Linked DNA regions of Drosophila melanogaster. The protein of the gene in region 4 purifies or fractionates together with the protein of the main gene of each other region. This does not show direct contact. Each region holds a gene or a part of one and is shown on either strand. Other genes may lie near its edges. The genes, in order: ND-18, CG6330, TpnC4 and GstS1.

Evidence for each region.
Region 1: the proteins of GstS1 (region 4) and ND-18 purify together in Drosophila melanogaster (affinity purification with mass spectrometry, with the first as the bait; one large-scale study listed by BioGRID). This does not show direct contact.
Region 2: the proteins of GstS1 (region 4) and CG6330 purify together in Drosophila melanogaster (affinity purification with mass spectrometry, with the first as the bait; one large-scale study listed by BioGRID). This does not show direct contact.
Region 3: the proteins of GstS1 (region 4) and TpnC4 purify together in Drosophila melanogaster (affinity purification with mass spectrometry, with the first as the bait; one large-scale study listed by BioGRID). This does not show direct contact.

Annotation. Positions count from the first base shown.
Region 1 is NC_004354.4:19,490,393-19,493,837, reverse strand, and holds ND-18 (NADH dehydrogenase (ubiquinone) 18 kDa subunit), read right to left. Parts: upstream 1,418-3,445; 5' UTR 1,302-1,417; coding exon 1,252-1,301; intron 1,162-1,251; coding exon 841-1,161; intron 782-840; coding exon 601-781; 3' UTR 501-600; downstream 1-500. Other genes in the region: CG12204 (uncharacterized protein), read left to right, coding at 1-430; pcm (pacman), read left to right, coding at 2,025-2,099, 2,159-3,253, 3,323-3,445. UniProt on the Drosophila melanogaster protein: Accessory subunit of the mitochondrial membrane respiratory chain NADH dehydrogenase (Complex I), that is believed not to be involved in catalysis. Complex I functions in the transfer of electrons from NADH to the respiratory chain.
Region 2 is NT_033777.3:26,949,584-26,955,241, reverse strand, and holds CG6330 (uncharacterized protein), read left to right. Parts: upstream 1-1,987; 5' UTR 1,988-2,119; coding exon 2,120-2,238; intron 2,239-3,343; coding exon 3,344-3,467; intron 3,468-3,822; coding exon 3,823-4,170; intron 4,171-4,232; coding exon 4,233-4,604; intron 4,605-4,673; coding exon 4,674-4,817; 3' UTR 4,818-5,119; downstream 5,120-5,658.
Region 3 is NT_033778.4:5,502,911-5,509,743, forward strand, and holds TpnC4 (troponin C isoform 4), read right to left. Parts: upstream 4,957-6,833; 5' UTR 4,777-4,956; coding exon 4,774-4,776; intron 3,885-4,773; coding exon 3,851-3,884; intron 3,802-3,850; coding exon 3,403-3,801; intron 3,349-3,402; coding exon 3,328-3,348; intron 739-3,327; coding exon 734-738; 3' UTR 527-733; downstream 1-526.
Region 4 is NT_033778.4:17,093,485-17,101,212, reverse strand, and holds the start of GstS1 (glutathione S transferase S1), read left to right. Parts: upstream 1-1,711; 5' UTR 1,712-1,721; intron 1,722-2,906; exon of another isoform or gene 2,907-3,087; intron 3,088-3,677; exon of another isoform or gene 3,678-3,985; intron 3,986-4,235; exon of another isoform or gene 4,236-4,409; intron 4,410-6,152; 5' UTR 6,153-6,177; coding exon 6,178-6,448; intron 6,449-6,516; coding exon 6,517-6,696; intron 6,697-6,754; coding exon of another isoform or gene 6,755-6,763; coding exon 6,764-6,897; intron 6,898-6,984; coding exon 6,985-7,152; 3' UTR 7,153-7,728. UniProt on the Drosophila melanogaster protein: Conjugation of reduced glutathione to a wide number of exogenous and endogenous hydrophobic electrophiles. May be involved in the detoxification of metabolites produced during cellular division and morphogenesis.

The DNA.
Region 1 (3,445 bases), on a different chromosome or scaffold from region 4:
GCACGGCGGGCGGCATCATAAGCAAGTCGACCGACAGGAGCACCGCGGACGGTATGTTGAGCAATCCCAGCAAAGGACGCAAACGGAGCGGCAACAGGATCACAAGGGACGACGCGATAAGCCAGCGGAGCGGTTTCAGGAGCACCAATGGCGGCACAACGAGCAAACGCAGCACAGGCAGCGGTACCAGGAGGACAGAGGGCGGCATAACGACCAAATGGATCGTTTTAAGGAGCACAAGGACCGAGGACAGCGACAAGAGCATCGGGACTGGCGCAACGAGCGCAGAGATTGGTACCAGCATCATGATGACAGCCGGAAGAGAAGCCGCAGTCCGAGCAGGCATCGACATGGCGATAGGCGTCGGGAGGAGCGAGAGCCACGCGAGAAGCAGCACAATAGGCATCGCTCCCAAACCGCTCGTCATTAGAGCGGCATGTGATGGTGCCGCTTCCATTGGCAGCGAAACTGGTGGCCATTACATGGTGCTGTGGTCATTTGAGTCCAGCCGACTGTTTATTTGGGTACTCAGATAATGAACAAAGCAAAAAAAAAATCAGATAATTGTGGTCTATAATCCTGGCTAGCTGCGGGGAGCGTCTACTTGGTGGAGACGCGCGTGCGCTTGTTCCAGGCAAAGTTGATGCCGTAGTTCTTGACGCGCTCCTTCTTGGGCTTCGCGGCGCCGTCGACGTACCAGCGCCATCCGTTCCGTTCGCAGAACGTGATGGCCTCCTCTGGGGATCCGAACTGCACGTTCATGTTGGACAATGGGTCGCCGCTGGAACACGAGACGTTGACCAAGGTTGCCATGGCATGGTGGACGTGCCAGCTACTCACCTGGAGGCCCAGCCCATGAGCGGATTCTCCCAGCGCTCGCGGTTGTCGAACTCGATTTGCCAGGTGTTCACGTTATCGGTGCCGCTCTGCATTGCGTTCTTGGGCGGAATATGGATGCGCACACGGCGCTCCCGAATGTGCTCCTCCGGAACGCCGCTGATCGGGCTGAGATTGACGGCAGTCGGCACGGTGATCTTGCCACTCAGCTTGTTGCGCTGCTCCAGCTCTTCGGGGCGGGCCAGGGCCGTCTTGGGGTCCAGCGGACCGCCGTCCGTGGCGGTGGATGCCCAGCGGGCAGCGGCTGCCCTGTTGGCCTGGTACCTGCGGTGTCAAGATGCGAAAGTGGATAATTAGAGGGCTGCAGATTTGCCAGGTCGGATGCACTTGCTCCGGCCAGGCGGGGGTACCTACAGCTGCAGGGAGGCGGTGCTTCTGCACATCACTTGGCGGAGGGCCGACATTTCGCTAGGCGTTTGGGGCTACACGGCAGAAATCGGCTTCAAAATACGAATTACGTAAAATTTGGAACACAAGCGCTTTTCGATTGGGAAAACAGCTGTTCGCCAGTGCCAGTGTGACCAGGCGAGCGGTGAGTGTTTTTATTCTAATTGGAAACAGTGTGGCCCCTCGCCTTGGATGCGATGCCACAATAGTTCAAAAACAGTTTTCTTCTTTTTCACTTCGAACTTCGCAAAAACTATGAAATGCTGTTCAAGTGGTAAAATGAACTTTAAAATGAAAATGAATGAAATGAAATACACTGATGATGAACTAGAGAAGTAACTAGAACTAAAACTATGCTATTTGTAAGCCAACTGTTTAAATGATGAGCATTGCATTTGCCCAGTGCTGCCAGATATGTAGGTGTTCTTAGCTCCTTTTAGCTTAATTTCACCATTAGCTGATTATTGGCAAAGGAGCCCGTTTCGCTTATCGATTCTAATATCGATTTGAATCGGTCAGGGTCCTTATTCTTTCAGTTATTCATCGAACTGCGGAATGCCGCCGGCCCTACCACATGGCAATAGCGAAACGTTGTGGCAACGCCTCGCCTACTTGCAACTTTTGTGTCAATCAATACATGTTGAAAACAGATAAAGACACAAATTTTTCAGTTCATCTAAATTGCCACTGATCCAGGCAGAACAGCACGGCGGCAGAACAGTCCCATCCAGAACAGCGACATGGGCGTTCCCAAGTTCTTTCGCTACATCAGCGAGCGATATCCGTGCCTCAGCGAATTGGCGCGGGAGCACTGCGTAAGTAAAGCTGCTAGGTCACGTTATATGTTGCCATGCACCGTACGGTTCCTTTGCAGATACCCGAGTTCGACAATCTGTACTTGGACATGAACGGCATTGTCCACAACTGCTCGCATCCGGACGACAACAACATACACTTTCACCTGGAGGAGGAGCAGATATTCCAGGAAATCTTCAACTACGTAGACAAGCTGTTCTACCTGATCAAGCCGCAGCGCCTCTTCTTCCTTTCAGTTGACGGGGTGGCTCCACGGGCCAAGATGAACCAGCAGCGCAGCCGGCGATTCCGGACGGCGCGCGAGGCGGAGCAGCAGGAGGCCAAGGCGGCCCAGCGAGGCGAGTTGCGAGAGCACGAGCGCTTCGACAGCAACTGCATTACGCCGGGCACCGAATTCATGGTGCGTCTGCAGGAGGGACTGCGCGCCTTTCTCAAAACGAAGATTTCGACGGATCCGCTGTGGCAGCGTTGCACCGTAATCCTAAGTGGCCAGGAGGCGCCCGGCGAGGGCGAGCACAAGATCATGGACTACATTCGGTACATGAAGACGCAGCCGGACTATGATCCCAATACACGACACTGCCTTTACGGCCTGGACGCCGATCTGATCATTCTGGGCCTCTGCACCCACGAGCTGCACTTCGTGGTGCTGCGCGAGGAGGTCAAGTTCGGGCGCAACGTCAAGCGCACCTCGGTGGAGGAGACGCGCTTCTTCCTGCTGCACCTGGGTCTGCTGCGCGAGTACCTCGAGCTGGAGTTCGACGCCCTGAGAACAGACGAGCACAAATTGGACATTGCGCAGCTTATCGACGACTGGGTGCTGATGGGCTTTTTGGTCGGCAACGACTTCATTCCCCACCTGCCGTGCCTGCACATTTCATCAAATGCACTGCCGCTGCTCTACCGCACCTACATCGGCATTTACCCGACCCTCGGCGGCAACATCAACGAGAACGGCAAGCTCAACCTGCGCCGCTTGCAGATTTTCATATCGGCCCTCACCGAGGTGGAGCTGGATCACTTCAAGGAGCACGCCGACGACTTGAAGTACATGAACAACAAATCAGAGGCGTTCGACATGGACGTCGGCGAGATCACCGAGTCTCAAAACCTCGACTCCGATCTCGGAGCCCTCATCAACAAGAGCATGCTGGTATGAACTCTCTGCACTGACCGCCATCCCGTCATTTCCGTCCGCTCAATGCCGCCTTCCCATCCACAGCTCTACGATGACGACAGCGAGGAGGACTGCTCCGACGAGAACGCGGTTCTTCTGAAGGAGTTCCAGAACTACAAGCGAAACTTCTACCGCAACAAGTTCAAGCGTGATCCGAATGATGAACTG
Region 2 (5,658 bases), on a different chromosome or scaffold from region 4:
TGAAGGAAAGGTATGGTTGAAATGGTTTTCACAGTCTTAAAGGATATCCATTTAAAGCTTTCTGATTAATGGTTTGCCGTGTGACGTGACTAATGCATTATTCTCTCTTAGCTGGAAAAAGCTTTTCCTCGTTTCGAAGAAGTTGCCAAACATTAAAATCGATTCTGGATTTATGATTCTTACGTTAGTTGGGATAGTGAAAATATCCAGAAATTGTTCTAGCTTGCCATATCCTAAGACGTACTGGGTTACCCATAAATAGATCAAGTGCTTGAGCTCACAATGAAAAGACTAGATCCATGGCAGTGACATTTGTTGCTGCCAGTGACAGTCAAGCTTACCCATGGTAACCAACCAAGTGGAATGACCCAAAGAAACGACTTGAAATGGCCACGATTGCGTACTCATCTCAAATTACAAAGGGTACCTCAAGAAGCACTTTAGCGATGATATGACGAAAACAAACTCGAATATCGTTATTGAACCACTTTTCATGATTTGTGTTGGTTAATGAGTTTTCTTTATTTCACTGCCCATTCAAACGAATATCACAGCAAGTCTCGCATAGTTTTGGCTTATATAAACAACGATTTTTATTTGGCTTTGCAGCTGGCAAAGTCCATCAATGGTAGTTACGGGGAATCGGCCAAGTTAATTACGAGTATGGCCATTAAGTGAATTCCACCGCTGCCGCACTCTGCTCACCGCCAAAATGCGACCTCAAAAACCAAATTGTGAGCCGCGTCACGTACATAGAAGCCAACCTCTCTTTCTATTGCAATCGCGCTGTCTCTCTCTGTCTCTGTTATTACTTGCCTCCCTGTCTCTGTCTGGTTCTCTTTCCCTCTTGTGAATTGCTATGCCAACATAGCCGAGCCCCCTTTTCGACTGCTTTTGACTGAGCTTTGTTTTTGCCTTTTGCTCTTTTCTTTTTTTTAATACCTGGTACTTGCGCGTTTGTCGGGTATATTGCACTATTGTAGCACCACAAGACGTTGTACTATATATGCGTATATATAATAATAATATATGCATATATAATATATAAATAAATTTAGATGTCAACAGTTTAAAAATCGTTTTTGTAATGTATGTAAAAGGTACAAGTTATCTTATAGCCTTACCCGTTTTTATTTATTTTTCTTTCTGTTTGTTTAAGTTCCCTCTTTTCTTTGCTGATTGTTTCGCTTTCTGCTTGCCAGTGTGAGTGCAGGAGTAACTGTGTGTGGGCAATGAGCTCCTCTTTCGTTTGTCTTTCGCTGTCGTCTGTTTATGTATATTTAATGGCCTGACTTCGAAATTAAAGCCACCGACATCGGATGACGCACTGGTGACTGGGCCTACAATAGTGGTAGTTGCGCTGCTCACATTCTTGTCCATGGCGAAATATTTCTTTTTGTAGAGTTACTTTGAGTTACGATCACAGGGTGCCTAGTTTCATGCGAATAGTTGCCAATTGTGGGCAACATTAAAAATAAATTAACCGAATTGGTCTTATTTGCATCTAATTTGCAAATATCAGAGTTGAAGAATGTGTAGCGAAATAGGTATCTCAAAAACCCGTTTAAAATATACAAAACCAAAAATTCCAAGCCAATTTGCATGAATTTAAAGTTGAAATGTTATACTAATGATTCGGCTAATTGGACCTGATCGAACACCCTGTTCATACAGCGAATAAAGCAGCGAAATTGCAATAATTGGATTACGCAAATCCGTTATGCTCGGCTGCAATTTCGCCTCAAGGCTCGTGGCCAATTGCACTTGATTAGTGATGCATAAGTCGCTCTGAACTGATAACAATCTGTATCTATGTATGTATGTATGCCATTCTATAGAGGTTTCTATTACACGACCATACAGTGTGCAATATATTTTCATTTCCACTATCAAATTGCGCAGCATAACTTCCGATTCGCCGAGAAGATTGTCTTATCTACACAGCTCAGCAGAAGCGGCCTATATAAAGGCCGGCGAAACGCAAGAAATTTTTTCAGTCTCGCTCGAAGCGTTGACGTGTCTACACGAGTAACTAGTTTTGTTTTGGCTCGCTGGCTGCTCCTTCGTCTGGTAGTTGGTAGTTCGTTTGTGAGTTAAAGGACATTCGAGAGGTGACATCATGCCGCCCACCATAACCGATAATCAGACGCACGACTTTAAGGCCCACTACGATTGCGCCCACAGGTCCTCGCTGCAGGACGACGAGACGGACGATGCGTACGTGAAAAGGATAACGCGGTAAGGATGCTGAAACCGGTTTTTGGTCCTGCAGCTGCTTCTTAAGTCAGCCGGGGGTTGTTTCATTTGGCGCGAGAAAGTTGCTCTGGAAATTTCTCTGTTTGCTAGCAACAAATAACAGCCGTTTTCTATTGAAAAATGAAAACAAATGCAAATCAAAATCCATCTGCAATGCAGTCTATAGTTTGCCTGATGTCAAATCGCTGTGTTGGCACAAAACCAGCTCTTCATCTGAGCAAAGAACGCCAATGGAAAACAGAACGCTTGGCCAGTTGGCACAATATTTGCACAGACCGGTGGGTGTGACGCCTACTCGATTACCCTGTATTCATTTCAAAGATCACTTTTCATCCTATCCGATTTCCGAGCTCATCAAATCATAATTTATGCTTCAATCGGATGTTTGCCGGAGTGCTTACGAAATATATTCACTTCGCGCTTATCAATCAAGGTCAAGACTACACGGGGTTTTCATTTGATTATGCTAGAGTCATAGACATTTTGCTTTTTGTTTTGCTCACACTTCTAACATGTTTTTTTTCCGACTCCCCGTTTGACGCACTTGATAATGATATTGGTTGGGTATTGGTGCTCTCTAGACCCCCTACATCGCAAGGGGGGTCTCTATAAATAAAGTCACTAATACACGAATCAATTCTGATCCAAATATTGATTAGAAATACGAAATTTGAATCTGTCATTTTGTGGCCATTAAATACTCGAATAGTGCTTACTCACGATTGTGTGACAAAATTGTGTGTATAAGTAATGTATATTTCATAAAAATTAGCTCATAACAATGTGTTTTTGCTAAGCATTACCTAAAAAATAAATAATTATTCCAGCGATGACGAATTTCTTCCTGCCCATCCCAACTGATTACACTTTTGGGGGGCTTGTTCGGCCACCGATTTTCTAGGAAACACTTAGATAAACTTATCTTTTATCAGAAAACGAGCATTTTTAAGTGTGATTTACTTCTGACAGCTGAAAGTAATTAACTCATTCATTTCTTGGCCTGAAGTGGGCGTTTATTTATGGCCCCCGCTGGCGGCGAATAGAATTTAATCCTCATTAATTCGTTTTGCATTCGCTTTAATTGCAGGTACTCCGATGGAACCGTCAAATTGCGCAACTCGAACATTGAGCTCATGGACCAGGATATCCTCTATCACCTGGCCTTGGGCAGCGAGAGCCACGACCTGCAGGAGATGTTTGGCGACGTTAAGGTGAGTGGTCTCTTGAATTATTCATAGTCTGAGGCGGTTAAAGACTAGACCCAGACCTAGACCTTGATTGTTATCAAATCAAGTGGGGCACAAGCGAAACGAGTTCATTAGCTGTTGCCAATTAAGCTAATTATATGCTTAGTCAGATTCATAAACTTAATAAATATATCAATGTGCTAATCTAGTACTGGTTCGATTTGCGATTTACAATTAAGGGTATGTTTTATATAAATAATTATATAGTCATAGATTGCAATACCAGCGGTATTAGTAATTTACAAATCTGAAACACAATGCCGGTTATTCCCCTTCTAAAAGCTCACTCAATTAATCCGTGTCTGTCTTTGACTTTCAGTTCGTTTGCATGGGCGGCACACCAAAGCGCATGGAGAATTTTGCCCATTTCATAATGAACGAGATTGGCTACAAGTTGCCAGCGGGCACCCAGCTGCAGGACATCAGCGCCTATTCGTATCGCTACTCCATGTACAAAGTGGGACCGGTGCTGTGCGTCAGCCATGGCATGGGTACGCCCTCGGTCAGCATCCTGATGCATGAGATGATCAAGCTGATGTACCACGCCAAGTGCAAGGATCCCGTCTTCATCAGGATAGGAACGTGCGGAGGAATTGGCGTCGACGGCGGCACCGTCATCATCACCGAAGATGCCCTCGATGGGCAGCTGAGGAACTCCCATGAGTTTGTAAGTCGTGGCTGAAATATCACCTCAAATGCGATAGATGACCCTAAACACTTGATTTGCAGACCATTCTCGGCAAGACCATCCATCGTCCTGCCAAGCTGGACAAAAAGCTGGCCCGTGAGCTAAAGTCCCTGGCCAGTCCCGATGATCCGTACGATACCATTATTGGCAAGACGCTGTGCACCAACGATTTCTACGAGGGCCAGGGTCGTTTGGACGGCGCATTCTGTGATTTCAGCGAGAACGAGAAGATGGCCTATCTGGAGAAGCTGCGCGAGAACGGCGTGGTCAACATCGAGATGGAGAGCACCATCTTTGCGGCCCTGACCCACCATGCCGGCATCAAGGCAGCGGTGGTGTGTGTCGCCCTGCTGAACCGCCTCAATGGGGATCAGGTCAACGCGCCCAAGGAGGTCATGAACGAGTGGCAAGCGGTGGGTGATCCCGACTAACTCCCCCTCTCAATGGAATGTAATTGAACATATGATTTTTCACCCAAACAGCGTCCGCAGATCCTCGTGTCGCGCTATATTCGCAAGGTCCTTACGCACAATGGACAGCTGAAGGCGCTATTCGGACACCAGGGATCCATCAAGTCACCCCGGCGCTTCAAGCTCGTCCAGCAGGAGTCTCAGGCCCACGAGTAAATGGGATCATGTGACCAGTTCCATCTCATTTCACCTTCTTACATTATATGTGCGCATCTCTCCAGTATACAATGATGTTTCAACATTCCCTAGTTTAGCTCTGATTAAGTTCCTAGCTTTATTTCTGTGTATATCGCCCACAACCTCATCGGATAATTTAAAACCGATCATATTGTACGTGCATATGTTCATATGTTACCACAATTTAATATATATATGTATATCAATAATATATAAAAATAGTATCACTGAGTGTGACGTTCAAAGGTTATCAGAAATAAACGCTTTTGAGATCACAAAACAAATAACGAATAATATAGAAGAATTATGAAATTGTTAATTGTTATGTTGCATATTTTAAATGGGGCTAATCTATTAAGCAAAGATTCAACAATACCAAACAAAACTAAATGCTACATTTCCATTTTATAAATTATTATATTATAATGTATTGAAATTCCTAAAGATTTGTTAAATGTACGTGTTGATTAGTGTTGCTACCGTACACTCGACTCTAAACCAAATCCAACAGCACTTAATCTTTCTCTGTCTAGTTATATCCAAATTAAATGAAAACAATACGATGAAGAACAAAATGCTGAAAATAACATCAATACAATTACGGATAGCACACGATAAAACCAAATATACAAGTTATATTGTAAAAAAACGAAATTTATGACAAATATTTCAACGGTATATTAAAAGAAATTGTAATTAAATTATACAAACCACTTAACGCGATTTCATTTTTTGGTGGCTAAAAGATCATACCAAAACAGTTATTTTTCCATTATTTATTTGCATTACATATGTATATATTTTTAAACAATCGTAAAAA
Region 3 (6,833 bases), about 12 Mb from region 4:
CTACTGCTCACATGACGGCGATGCTTGCATGATTTTCGCAAGTTCATCGAAATTCCGTATTGCATTTCGAGAACTGCACGCCACTGTTCCCTCGGAAATCGCAGGGTGCGGCCAAAGACACTATTCTAGTGTCTTTGGTGCGGCACAGATCCCACTTTTGATATCGGCTCATAAGGATTTTGAGTGTTGTTGTACATCTTTTCTGTAAAATGTAATCTATTTTGTAAGGCTGAGGTATCAACGAGTTCTTCTATCTGCTTTGGCTTCTAACCAACAACTGACGCTCTCGCCTCTAGCATGGTTCATTTCCTTTTCTCGTATCTCTTTCGCACTTTAACCACGTTCAGCAACAGCACTATCGGTCACGCTCTAACACATTTATTCCCAATCTCAGATAATTTGTCGCTTTATTCCCATACATTGAAAATAAATGAAATAAGTTAAGCATCAAAGAACGCAAGGAGAAGAGGAAACAGTACAGCCTTGCCACACCTGTTACTTTACCACATATGTTCATCCGTCTGTTCGTACATCGGCCTTATCTGCTTTTGGCCCGATATTTGTTTATATTTAAATTAGATAAGAGAAAAATGATGCTAATACATTTCAATCAAATTTTATTTATAATATTTGACACAAAACTAATGGCTATTATTGTTTTATGTATTTTTGATTTTGCATTGTCTGCCATATCTGAGCTTTTGCACAGCATGTCAAAAAAGAGCAATGTGGGTCAACCTGGAAGAGAAAAGTTTTAGTGTTTATAAAAATATTTATATTTATATAACGAAATATAAGGATAAGGAACGAAATATTTGAAATTACAAGAGAGAATGCTATAGTCGAGTTACCGGACTATCAGATACCCGTTATTCAGCTAGTGGAAGGGAAAATGGGAATTTTCATAATTTTTCTGGCATATCGATAGAATTAGATAGAGAATAATATATTAAAAATATTAAAAAATTTAAAAAAAGGTGGGCGTGACAGTTTTGGTCGTTTTATAGGTGCTAGAAGGGGCGTCCAAAATTGTTTGGTATAATCAAAAAATTTTTCAAAAGTGTGGGCGTGGCAGATTTGTGAAGATTGGGTATTGGCATATCAATAGAAATTAATAAGACGTATACAAAAATGAATAATATAAAAACATTTTAAAAAGTGTGGTCGTGGCAGCTTTGATTTGCTTGTGGGCGTAAAAGTAGGCGTGGCAAAATTGAGAAACAACCTTGCACTTCGTCTATGTCTCAGGAATCTTAATCTATGTCTTAAAAATATGTTGATATTTTATAACATTTTATTTTATAAAATATATAATAAAAAAATATATATATATAAAATTCAATTTTGTCGCGCCTCTAACGCCACACACACACTTCTTAAATGTGTTGAAAATATACCAAAAACATGTTGTCCACGCCCAATCGGTAGCTTATTCGGGCGGCAAATATATAACATCCATATATGGAGGCATATTTATTGTTTTTAAATTTATCAGCTGAGTAACGTGTATCTGATAGTCGAGGCACTGGACTATAGCATTCTATAATATCATGTTTTTTCTACCAATTTTTATCGGTGTCATTTTGTCATCTGCCTTCTAGTCGAGTTACTGGACTATCAGATACTCATTACTCATTTAGTGGGAGGGGGAACGAAAAATGTTGACACTTTCTTAGCAAATCTATAGAAGTTTACAAAGCAATTAATGCGTCGCCAGGGTAGGGCAGGGGGAGCAGCTTCCCTCCCCCCCTCTGGACCTAAAAGGAATGTTCCAAGAAATTTCATAATTTGCTGCCTATTACGTAACTTCCAGTTGTTTATTTACACTATGTACCGTTCTTATTCTCTTAGTCAATCTGCCTCCAATTCTATCGATAGGTGCTTTCACTAAGAGTTTCCAGTGTTGGAAGATGAATTCTGGTCAAAAATATATGTAACTAAACGGGCTCTGTTTGAAGACAAATACTTCTGCGACGTCATTTTATTATCATAAACGACAGTCTCTCAGTTTTTGTCTGCCTACTTGCTCTTCTGGCTTGTTTCAAACTTCAACATTCGGTACATCTAACTTGCTATTCGGCACGAACTCAGATATGGTGGATGTTTTTAAAGGACCGGACATTCACCATCGCCAACCTTGTCTACATTTCTTTCTTTACTTTTTACTTCTTTGTATGGACCTTGACATTACCCTTTAATCTCAAGCCAACTCCATATTGAGTCTGATCACAACAAGCCAGTTTACTTTGATTTGATCAGTTTGATACTTTACTGACTTTCACTCTTTCTCATTGATGTTTCACTTTACGCTCTTTGTTCAACTGATCTCTTAATGTAAGGTGATCAACACTCAAGTCAACACCCGGTTTTTGTTATGCATCCCTCTATTCCTATTTGCCAATGAACATTTGGCACGTCAGTAAATAATATTGATTCCTTTTGTACCAAATGTTGCATTTTGCATGTTGTATAAAAAGTGGCACGGTAAAGCAGCGATTAACGCAACCCTACAAAAACACGAGGTATTGGATGTAACAGAGGATTCTCCCCAGAAGCGGAGATGTTTAGGGACATACATTCGGACATGCCCATATGGATCAGAATCGATCACAGGAATCGTGGTCCTAAGAACCTTAAACCCGGAAAAGCTTAAAGAAAAGACCCTACGTTGGATCCCAGCCATTGCCATGCATATGCGTGGCACGCATACCCAAAAAAAAAAAAATATATGTTATAATATTTTTAAATTTGTAATAAGCTTGACAATTTCTATCGATTTGCCAAAAAACTTTTTGCCATCAGCACTTCAACGCCTACAAGCCGCTCAAACTGCCACGCCCAATTTTTTTTTTTCATTTTTCTTTAGGATTTCATAACTGGACTGTGGTCTTCTCTCTTGTCTTAGGTATAGAGACCTTAGCACACTTAGTTTTTAATCGTCTAACGGCATAAGCAACATTTTACGGTCATAACTGATGTTGCTTATGCCGTTATGTTGACGATTAAAAACCAAGTATAAAAAAAAAACACATCCTTACAAGGCAATACGATAATAAATCGTTTAATAGAAAATGTTTTGGTGGACAGGAATTATTTTAGAAAAACGGGCGCCGTTTGCGTAAATTTTATATTATGAATTTATAATTTATGCAATATATGCAATATCAATTGTAGTCATACAAGTTGATTATTTTTTGCACGTGGGTGGTATCGTCACTTCACCCTTAAACGGCAAACCGTAAAGAAGGTCAGAATAATATTGTTTTGTTTGAATGTGTTTTTTTACATAGGTGGAACTAATATTTGTTTAAGGGTATCATGTATTACCTGTCATAACTTGCATGAATTCTGCAATGAAAACGTTATTATTGAATGTTTGATTAATTATATTAAACTACTTACCGTCAAAATCAACCGTACCGGATCCATCCGCATCAATTTCTTCTATAATCATATCTAAGTCTTGGTTAGAAAGCTTATCGTCCAATTCGTGAAGAATGCCTCTTAGTGTTGCAACTGTCAGGTATCCTTTCCCCTCTTTATCATATACACGGAAGGCCTCTTTTAACTCATTTTGAAGAGCTCCCACATCTTCCTCAACTTCAATAAAGCGAGCTGCCAGTTTGCAGAACTGGCTAAAATCCAATTTACCAGTTGTTCCTTTATCGACCTCTTTAATAAGGGCCTTTACCGCAGGTGGTTCTAATTTCTGACCCAAAATTTCAAGAATGCTAGATACATCAGCATGTTCGATCGATCCTGCACCGTCGTGGTCGAAAGCCTTGAAGGCGTTCCTAAGGACTAATACGTCGTTTTTTAAATAGTAAATAAAAGTTTAATTTTATACTACTTCTCAATTGTTCCTTGTCGTATTCTCCATCGGCCTGAAAGAAGTATGGATATATAATAAAATCTTTAAGATAATGAACTATATGTTCATGTCAGCCTGGTGTCTACAAGAGTAATGTCATAATTATACTCGTTTGGTGGACGGGTATGTTGTATTTCCAAAAATATATTGCATACAGATGCATGTCTTTCATGCACAAAAAGGGTACGTTTTCTTATGTGCATTTTTTGTAACGAAGTCAACTTTTGCTCGGTAGCCCGTCTGTCCGTATGCAACTGATTTACCATAAATGTTCGAAGACTCTACTTTAGCGATGTAGAACAATATATCCCTTATATGTATGGCTAGATCGACTCGGCTATTGTTCCTGATAAAGAATGTATGTCTATGCTTTATGTGGTAGAAATCGCTTCCTTCTGCAAGTTACATACTTTTTAACGAATAGAGTATACCCTTTTACTCTACGAGTAACGGGTAGCGGGTGTTATTGCAATAAATACTAAGTTAATGATAAATTAAAAAATTTTAAGGTAATATCTTCTTCACTGTCTGGTTATTAAAATCCACATAGCGCACGTTGTCGTCTACATTTTAATGTTTTGAAAATGATCTGCAGATTAACGGCAGTGATGACAATTAAGTTCCTATTTGTCTCATACGTAGATAGACACTATCTATATCAAAAAAAAAAATATATCAAAAATCACTTTCCCTTGACAGCTTATTTCCAACCACTTTACAAACTTAATACTTTATACTTTATCGCTTGTGGAATTTATATTTATATAAATTGTGTTTTTTCATAGCAAGGGTAAATAATTATATTTATATTTATATTTAGTCAACAGTAAATTTTATATAAAAAATTCAGAATGTGCTCCATTAATTTTTAGTTTAATCAAAGTTATAATATCGTAACTTACCATTTTAAAGAGTTTTTTTTTGTTAAATCAAATTACACCGCTAAGGTTTAGGAAAACCCTTTAAATATAATATAAAAATACTATATTACTATTACTATACGATATTTTTGATAATCTAAAAAGTGTCCCAGAAGAGGAGCTAAAGAAACAGGGTACGCTACTTTCAATTATCACCAAGCTTTTAAACAATTCGATTTGTGTTTTATGTTAGCTAAGTTCATCGGCAATGGAAAATGCCAAAGCTTTTCCGAACGAACGCTAACAATAAAAATGTAAGCGACTACATCTGTATACAAACGGCTAAATTTTCATCCTAATCGATGATAAGGAAATAAGAGCAAGAAGCGCTCGAAGAGTAAGGGTGGTCTTTATGCCGAAACTTTTATTCCTTAAATTGTAAAAGCAATAATCCAATTAAAAATTTTTATTTTTTAGTTTATATAAAATTAGAAATTTAAGTATTTTTGATACCATAAAGGCAACATATTTCTTAAATTAATGATTTACCATAACACTTAATCTATACGGGAAATAACAAACATTTTCTTTGACAGTTCAACCATAAATATTACGCGGAACTTATATTTTTAAGCGTTCCTCGTTGCACAGTAATATTTATATCTTTAAGATATCTTTACTTACTGAATCAAGCTTCCTTTCCTGTTACTGTTTCTTCCTAATCTACCTAATCAAGAGAAATGCGCGATAATTGATGAGTATCAAAATGTACCATTGCATATATTTTACCGAAGTTGGTGCATTCATCACGTAGTGTCAAAATGGGGTGAAAGCTATTTATATTTTATTAATTTAGTGAAAGTTGTTAATTAATATGATTTTATCGTAGATAAAGTACTTCACGAAACCAATTTTACCTTCACACTTTCAAAAATGTGTGATCTCATTGTTTGTTATACCCGTTACTCGTAAAGTAAAAGTGCTAGTTTCGCTGAAAAGTAGCGTTTCCGACCATATAATGTATGTATGTATATATTCTTGATCAGGATCAATAGCCGAGTCGATCTGACCCTTTCCGTCTGTCGAGATTACCATTCCAGAGACATAGACGCAGCGCTAGTTTGTTGACTCACGCTAACGCCCTCAAGCCGCCCAAAACTGCCACGCCCACACGTTAGAATAATGTGGTACACAGCCTACATCTCGTAGCAGATGACATGGAGGGGACTGCTGGGCCTATAGAATCGTTCCCAAGGCAGGCACTGTCGCATTCTACAAGGAAGACGCCCAGTGAAAGACAATAGTTCCATCATGGCTTTTAATTATTGATGGTTGGACGGTCTGTGAAAACGAATTTCTGTCTTATACGGTGAAATAGCCAATGGCTGGGCTTTTTAGGCTTACGTTGACGCTATGACCGTTATGACTTGTCGCTCCGAAACTTGATTTACGTGGCGTCTCTCACATTGACAAAGTTACAACCCACAAGTGGGCCAATGATGCATGTGCCTAAGCACTCTTTTCCAATGGCCCTAAAAGCTACGTATAGGTAGGTACATATATAGCGATGTACAATTAGCAATTTGAATGGAGTATTACAGTTCAAGTTCTGCTGGAGCTCCAAAGTGTGATTATTTGGCAATGGTCCGTCATCTTACACCTCAAGAAAATATTAACCGAAAAACTGCTAGGAAAGACAACAGATCTGATCTTAAATACGCCTGCAGATGAGCGGAAGGGCAGTTTGTCCCCTGATCCTATATAATGTAATCAGTATTTCACGCGTTTTCGATTCTATAGAGTATATACATTCGTGATCAGGATCACAAGCAAAGTCGATTTGGCCATGTTCGTTTGTCTGTCCATATAGAGTTGTGGTTAAGCATTACATTTTAAGCAGTATTATTTTAATTTAAAATGCTTGCCAACCCCGTTTCGGGGTTTGTAGTCCCAAACTGCCCGGCGCACACATATGAAAAATTGTTGAGTTCTTTTCAATGTCTTTTGCCCACAAACAGCGCAAAACTTCAACGCCCACACTTTTTTACTGCCAATATCCAAAGGAATACGGGTTTTCTGGATTTTGCTCTCGGATTGTTTCG
Region 4 (7,728 bases):
CAAACTGGTTATAGCCGCCTAATTGGGCATTTAGCATCGTCACATGCAAGTTTCATTGTGTTTGACTTTGGCTACCTTTTAACCCGAGTGCAACAAAGGGTATATTGCTTTCGTGCTAGTCTTAAACAGCAATCTACACTTGGAGGTCTATCTAGTATTTTTTCAGTTGGGGGATCAACTCTACTTTTTTTCGTAATAACAATCGGGAAGTATTCGGTCGATCAATTTCTGATTCACTCTGTTATCTTCACCCACTCCACTGCTTATCGTCATTTATAATATTTGAATGGGTTTTAAAGCCACTTCTAACATTTATAAAGTATGGCAATCATAAACGGGTACATTTTCACACAACTACATCAAACTACTTTAACCAAAATCGAAGCTATGGGCGAATAATAGCTAAACAAATAGATACGTGGAAACCTTGAATTGGATAATACGATTTTCGCCCATCAGCAGAGTCAGCTAACAAAATAGAGTTTATGTATTTAGTCAGCCGATTACAAAGATAAAGGCACACAGAATAGTGGCTTTAATGGCTTAAAGTGGCGAAAACCACTCATTACCGACACGAGTCAGTACGAGTTTGAAGCAAAACAGCTTTGGAGCCAGCACTGATTCGGGCGAAAAGTGACAATTTTTTTGTGTATTTACTCAATTAAAATTGGAGTTTGATTTTCAGGTTTTGCACAGTTCATAATTTGTGGGCACGTGTTAATGAGACAGTTTTTGTAAGCGCATGCAGACGTTTCGTGTTCGCTTTGAATTTAGATTTCTTCACTAGCTGCCATTCGAGTTCACTTGCCAATTTCGGCACTTACATTGTTCGCTATTTATCGGTCTTTTGCCGCGCTTTAAGGTCACGGCTCACGCTGCGTATACGCAATGTGGACTTCAAGCGATCGCCCAATTGGAAAACATTCACCAACTCGCGCAACGTTCGCTCACCTGCGCATTTGAATTCGCACTGAAGGTGGAATTCGCAGTGCAGCAAGTGCGAGAATTATCGCCTCTCCCGATCTCACTGTTTCTCTCTCTTTCCATATAGCACCCGTCTATAACTTTTACCGCTGCCGCTCCCGCCGTCTGGTTTTAACTGTTCGCCCGCCGAGTGTTAGTTATAATTTTTTTATGCGCTCGCTTTTTTATTATTTAGATTGCTCTCGCGGGCTCGTCGGTTCCGTTCTGTGTCGCATTTTCCACAGCAAATTATTGTCATAATTCCGCCGCTCATTCTTCGTGCTGCTTACTATTCTTTTTTTTTTACTTATTCCTGGAGTGCAATTGCAGGCGGCATAAATTCTTAATTAGTGCAGGCCACACAGCAAATAATTTTATTTAATTGCAGCCATAGTCATGACCATAAAATAGTAAACTACTTTCAATCCATAAACGTTAAAATCATACATCTATGCACTTTATTGGAAAATATTTTATAGCACGTTGTTAGAACATAAAATTTTATAGCAAGCTTCAAAATGCATAATTGCAGAAAAAATCCATTAGGTTTAAACGTAAAATTTCTGCCTGTGCATAAAACTTAGTGGTCTTCGCCAAGAAAGAAACGAAAAAGAATGCGGAGAAAATTGGCGCACAACCAGGCAGTCTGGAAAACCTACTTCAAAAACAATAACGAATCGAAAATTTCCCTCACTAGCGAGCAGTGCGTCAAAAAAAACTTCGGACTTTTTTTTAAGTCTCAGTTAGAGTTATTCATGGTGAGTCCGCTGCGATTTGTCATATATTCTCCACCTGTTTCACTCGATTATGCACTCGTCAGCGTGTTCGAAATGTCTGTCTTATCGTGAACGATTGTCATATCTTATCAATCGAGGTCTGCTCACAATCGAAACCGCCAACGCAAAACGAAGAGCTGAATACGCGCCATCGCATTAAAGGCCACAAATCGGTCATTTTCTATGGATTTTCGCGTAATTCTACGAGAATTCTGGGCTCGATTTTGTGGGGGATTTTTGCTGTTTTCTTACTTGTGCACCGATTCGCTTATCTTTGCACATTTTCGAACGTACGCCGCCCAGCCAACACAAAAACACACAAATAGTGCCCGAATCGCATGGAATGCTTCTTTTCCAGCTGTGGGAGTCCCATGGCTGCGAAAAGCTGGTGAATTCGATTGCGTTTTATGGTAGTTATTTGGGTAGAAGCAAAGATTGTGTGGGTACAAGATGAAAATTGTAGGAGTCCCATCAATTCACAGTGAATAACACTTAATCAAGTTTTTTAATCAATTAATTCAATTTTATACTATTTTATGTCAAGTGCTAAGCAAACGGCAGTCATTTTCAGCTAATGATAAGATATGAGCTAAGACCTATTTAACTAAGTGTAACTGACCTTCTAACTTAATTTATGGCAATTAATAAATTTCATTAAATTTTGATACAAGTAAACCCAATTAACAAATCATATTTTCGCGCCAATATTCAAAATTTAAACTTACCACACTTTTCTAAGTCGAATTCGCCGCAATTCGAGCCACACTTTTCTAAGTCGAATTCGCCGCAATTCGAGCCACTAACAGCTAGCCAAGCACACAACCTAAATTAGTGCGGCTTCTAACCAACCTTTTTATTATCAAGTACCGCAACCATGCAAAGAGTTGCCAGAATGTTAATTTCGAACATTTACGTTACAAGTTGAATTTGTCATTCAAATGTTTAAATTTTTAAATGGAAATTTTGCCTTCAGCAAATATGCCTAAATTAACAGGTTTAATTAAAATAATTTTACTTATTTTACCGATATTTATAAATGCAATTAGAAAAGATATGAAAGAGCCCCCGTTAAGCTATTCAAAAACAAAACAATGTGCAACATGTTTTAAATGCTTAAATAATTTTAATTTGATATAATTCACAAGCGTTATACATTTTTTCCCTTAGACAACCCTATGAAGTGAACCTGATGCTTCCCACATAAGTAAACATCTTGGATGCACTCGAATTTCGTCGCCAGGCACCGCCAGTCTGGATCGAACTAAGCAAAGTCCAGAGCACCGCGATTGAGTATTGGGCGTTTCAAATTTCCTGGCTAATTTCTCACAATCAGTTAATGCTAACAAAAGTACTTATGCGGCGGATAGTTCCTAAGAATGTGGGAGTATGACTTTAAGATACGATAAACTTACTTAATGCAAATAGGAGTAAGATTGAAAGTTAATAATTAGTTTTAGGTACCCATAAGATGTTTTTTTCTTCGGCTCTCAAAATCTGCTTTATTTAGTTTTCGTTCTTTAAACTATGTATCTTTTAAGTGGGCAGTAAACAAGCTTCATCCACTAAAAGCCCAAACAAATATTTACTGCCTTTTTTTGCTACTATAATTGGTTTATTACTGAGCTGAGAACCTCTCCCAAAGAGATCTATTTAAATGCCGACTGAGAGATTTTAAGAACAGAGAGAGAGTTCCATTTTGTTTATGAAAAGCTAATTGCCAAATTGGGAAGCCAAAGCCTGCTGGAATATTGCATTCCATTTAAGAAAAGAGGGTAGGAAGAAGAAGAACTGGAAACGTGGCTAAATATGTTAACTAATTCATTAACTTCGTTTCCTTTTCAACGCCCACTGGAACTAGAATCAGAGAGAGAGAGAGAGAGAGAGAGAGAGAGAGAGAGAGAGAGCCAAACTTAAAATTAAAACACTACCTTTTTCCAGTTAACCGGCCGGCTTACACACACAGTCAAACGCCTGAAGCTTGAAAGAGAGTGTTTGCTTGATGAGAGCGGCAAGCGTATAAAAGCAGCGTCGCCGGCAGAAGAAAGTCAGTTGCAGTGCAGTCGTCGTGACGATCGGTTCAGTGATAGCTTCCCAGTGGCTGGAGAGAGTGAGAGTAGAGAGTAACGGAAAGAGAGTGCGAATCGAACCGAACGCTATTCCTTCGCCCACGATTTAAGTGAACGCTTATTAGCGAATTGAAGACCCGAGAGCCCCAGTGCCCAGCTGATTTCGTATTCTTTGTTGAGGTAAGCCAAGGAATCCCTGGAACCACCTCATTTCGTAGCACCTTAGTGATGTAATTACGCACCAAGATTTACCCTTGCCAAAAAGTGGAAAACGCTTTTGCGAACTTCGATGCCGAATGGTGTTCGTCTCGAATCGGTTCTAAAATTACACACAATGGTTTTTTGGCTTCGATTGATTTGATTTGATTTTTGGGTCAATCGATTCGAAATCGAAAAGTTTTGAACTCGTTTCGCAGAATCGCAGTTCGCGCGGATCTCTCGCCTCGCTCGCAAGCAAATATGTGAAGGACAACGACGTTAACCGATCAACTAGAAGCCCTCTTCTTCTGCCTCTTCAGAACCGATCAGATCGGAATAGAAATATAGAAACGACCATAGCACCTCCGTCGACTGTGGAGTGCGTGAACGTATTTCGAAGCGTGAGGTACTCGAACCGGAACCAACTTGAGTGTAGTGCATATTCGGGATCTTATCCAAACGCAGGCTTACATAACCCCTATTTTAATACCTTTTCAAAAAGGAATAATTGAAATTCAAAACAAAATTATTTAGCAACAAACAAACAATCAGTTATATTTTTGAACTGATATGCCTCGGGGCTAGGGGTCCCAGACTTTCAAATTCTAGTGATAACCCCCCCGATCGGCGAGTTCATCTGGAAATGTTGCCCATATGGGCCGGGTGCACGTGAATCTCTTCAGTGCCCATTGACGCACTTTGTGTGCCTCCACTGGGTCCTTGACCCGCTGTGATCCCTGCCCTTTCCCATGGATTGGATAATCTAGGTGTCATTATCTTCCCTAACCTTTTCCCACGATTAAAGTGAAACCATTTGCCACGATTTTAGTGCCGTAGTGCCAGATCAAAGAGCCAAAATAGATCAGAGAATCGAAATTTAATTAAATCATGACACCGAAACACCGAGACAGACCAAATTAAATTCAATTGAAGCTGTCATGGCAACAAGTGCCAGCAAAAAAAAGGAAGAGCACTACGGCGAAACCAGAAGATAACACCGAAAAGTCAAATCGATTGTTGCAATTTGAGACTCTCCGAAAGCGAAAATTGCAGCGGAAGAGGCGGCCAATCGGCCATTACTAAACGGTGATGGGGTTGGGGAGGGGATCCGAAGTCTTGGTGACTGACTGGGCGCCCTGCCAAAATGATGGCAAAGGCAGAGACACCATGATTCCTCAGCCAAATCGAACGAAAACGGGTTTACGCTCTACATGGACCCCATTGCACACTGAATCCGTTTATCCAGCGAGGCAAAAAGTGCCGACGACAATGGAAACAGGGGCGTAGTATCCGTACCTCCTCCGTCCTACGATTCTTCCAGCAGCGCCAACGCCCCAAAAGATATTGATTCCGACTTTTGCGCGATTCAGCGAAAAACATAAGGGGACCAAAAGTGGGCAGACGGGCGGAGGAGTGGTGTCTGTTTCTTTGATATGCGTGGGTGTGTTGTCTGTGCGGCAATCGATGCACTTCCGGTGGGTTCTATGGGGAAATACTCTTGCGTTTCAGTATATATCTACTATATATATTGCAATTTTATGGTAATTATATTTTCTGTCAACTTTTGCCTTGACTCCGCTTGATTTATTGCATTGTTCTTGAAGAATAGCCTCATAAGGCATGCAAGCAAACATGGCTTTCGAACTAGCGCAAAATTAGCTAGTAGCTTATAGAGTATATGTAGCTTACCCCCAACGGTTTTTATATCATTTGTTTAAACCACTTAAGAATATTCGTAGCCTTGTGGACACACTTTATCGTGGATCGTGGAAGTTATACGACACCGTAATATATCCTTATCACTCACGCATATTCTGGCCCACTTCAGCTAGAAACGTTTGGCGCGTTCGCCTTATCATAAAAATCAGGCTATCGACTGATTAACTGAGTTTAATAAGCCAGCAAACGTAAACAAAAACTACGAAAGTTCTGGAAAACTAACCAAGGCTATTTCAAAACGGCGTGAAATGGCTAGCACTCTAAATTATTGAAGTTTTCAACATATGTATATCTAATCTGATAGCCAAGAAAACATAATGGTTACCAACTTTCCATATACACCGTAATTTATTATTGATGAATATCAAATTATCGATAGTACTTCCCCGATAAGATTCTGTTAACACACATTGCTCTACTTTTCTATCAGGGAATTGCATTGAGAAAGCGCAGAGATGGCCGATGAAGCACAAGCACCACCAGCTGAGGGAGCACCACCAGCCGAGGGAGAGGCGCCACCACCCGCCGAGGGAGCCGAGGGTGCCGTCGAGGGCGGAGAGGCCGCTCCACCAGCAGAGCCCGCCGAGCCCATCAAGCACAGCTACACGCTCTTCTACTTCAACGTGAAGGCGTTGGCCGAGCCCCTGCGCTACCTGTTCGCCTACGGCAACCAGGAGTACGAGGATGTGCGCGTCACCCGCGACGAGTGGCCAGCCCTGAAGCCCAGTGAGTGCCATAGTCCATCATTGAGTGGTCAGTGGACTAACCATAATCTACTCTGTCTCATCCAATAGCCATGCCCATGGGACAGATGCCCGTGCTGGAGGTGGACGGCAAGCGTGTGCACCAGAGCATTTCGATGGCTCGATTCCTGGCCAAGACTGTCGGCCTGTGCGGCGCTACTCCGTGGGAGGATCTGCAGATCGACATTGTCGTTGACACCATCAATGACTTCCGTCTAAGTAGCGAACAATGTGTGCCTCAGTTTCATGTTCAGTGTCCTTGATTAACTCTGGAATTTTTAATGTATAGAAATTGCAGTCGTCTCGTACGAGCCGGAGGACGAGATTAAAGAGAAGAAGTTGGTCACCCTGAATGCGGAGGTCATTCCATTCTACCTGGAGAAGCTCGAGCAGACCGTCAAGGACAACGATGGTCACCTGGCTCTGGGCAAGGTGCGTGCTCAAATGAGAACTTGAAACCATACACTCGTTAATTTTGAATGAACAATACTAAGAACCATCGATTCCTTTCACCCACAGCTGACCTGGGCCGACGTCTACTTCGCAGGCATCACCGACTACATGAACTACATGGTCAAGCGCGATCTGTTGGAACCCTACCCAGCTCTGCGCGGAGTCGTGGATGCCGTCAACGCTTTGGAACCGATCAAGGCCTGGATCGAGAAGCGCCCCGTCACCGAGGTCTAAGTTCACCGAACAGGACTTGGGAGGATGGGAAAGCATTGCACAACCACTCAGACACAACCGCACCGCAGAAATGCACACCACCCACATCTGCACACATTTTGTTCCTTTTTGCGGAGGATCCGAGAGGACGGCGGATTTTCGCACGGGGTCATAAACGCGTAGGAGTTTAGCACGTATCACTATGGATAAATCGTATTTGTTCTTAATTTCTTGGTTATAATTCTCTTTGCATGGCGCTATATACATATTTCTATTGGGGTCCGGCAGCGGATCGCCGTTCGTTAGCTTCTTCTGAAATGATGAAAGATAATACTTATTGCACAGTTTATAATATTTTGGCTTACTTTTAGAACATACATTTAGCGCACCTATGCAGACATTTGCTGTACCTATATATATATATATATGCATAAAATACAAAAGCTACGAGTGGTTCATCTTATAGGCGTATTCTATTGCAATTTATTCAATGCGGAGGGCTCAATAAATATTTAAAACAACACCAGCTAAGGCTGAGAAACAATTACAAATTCTTATTTTGTTTTTTATACAACACGCCATCGCGGCCCCAGGAAT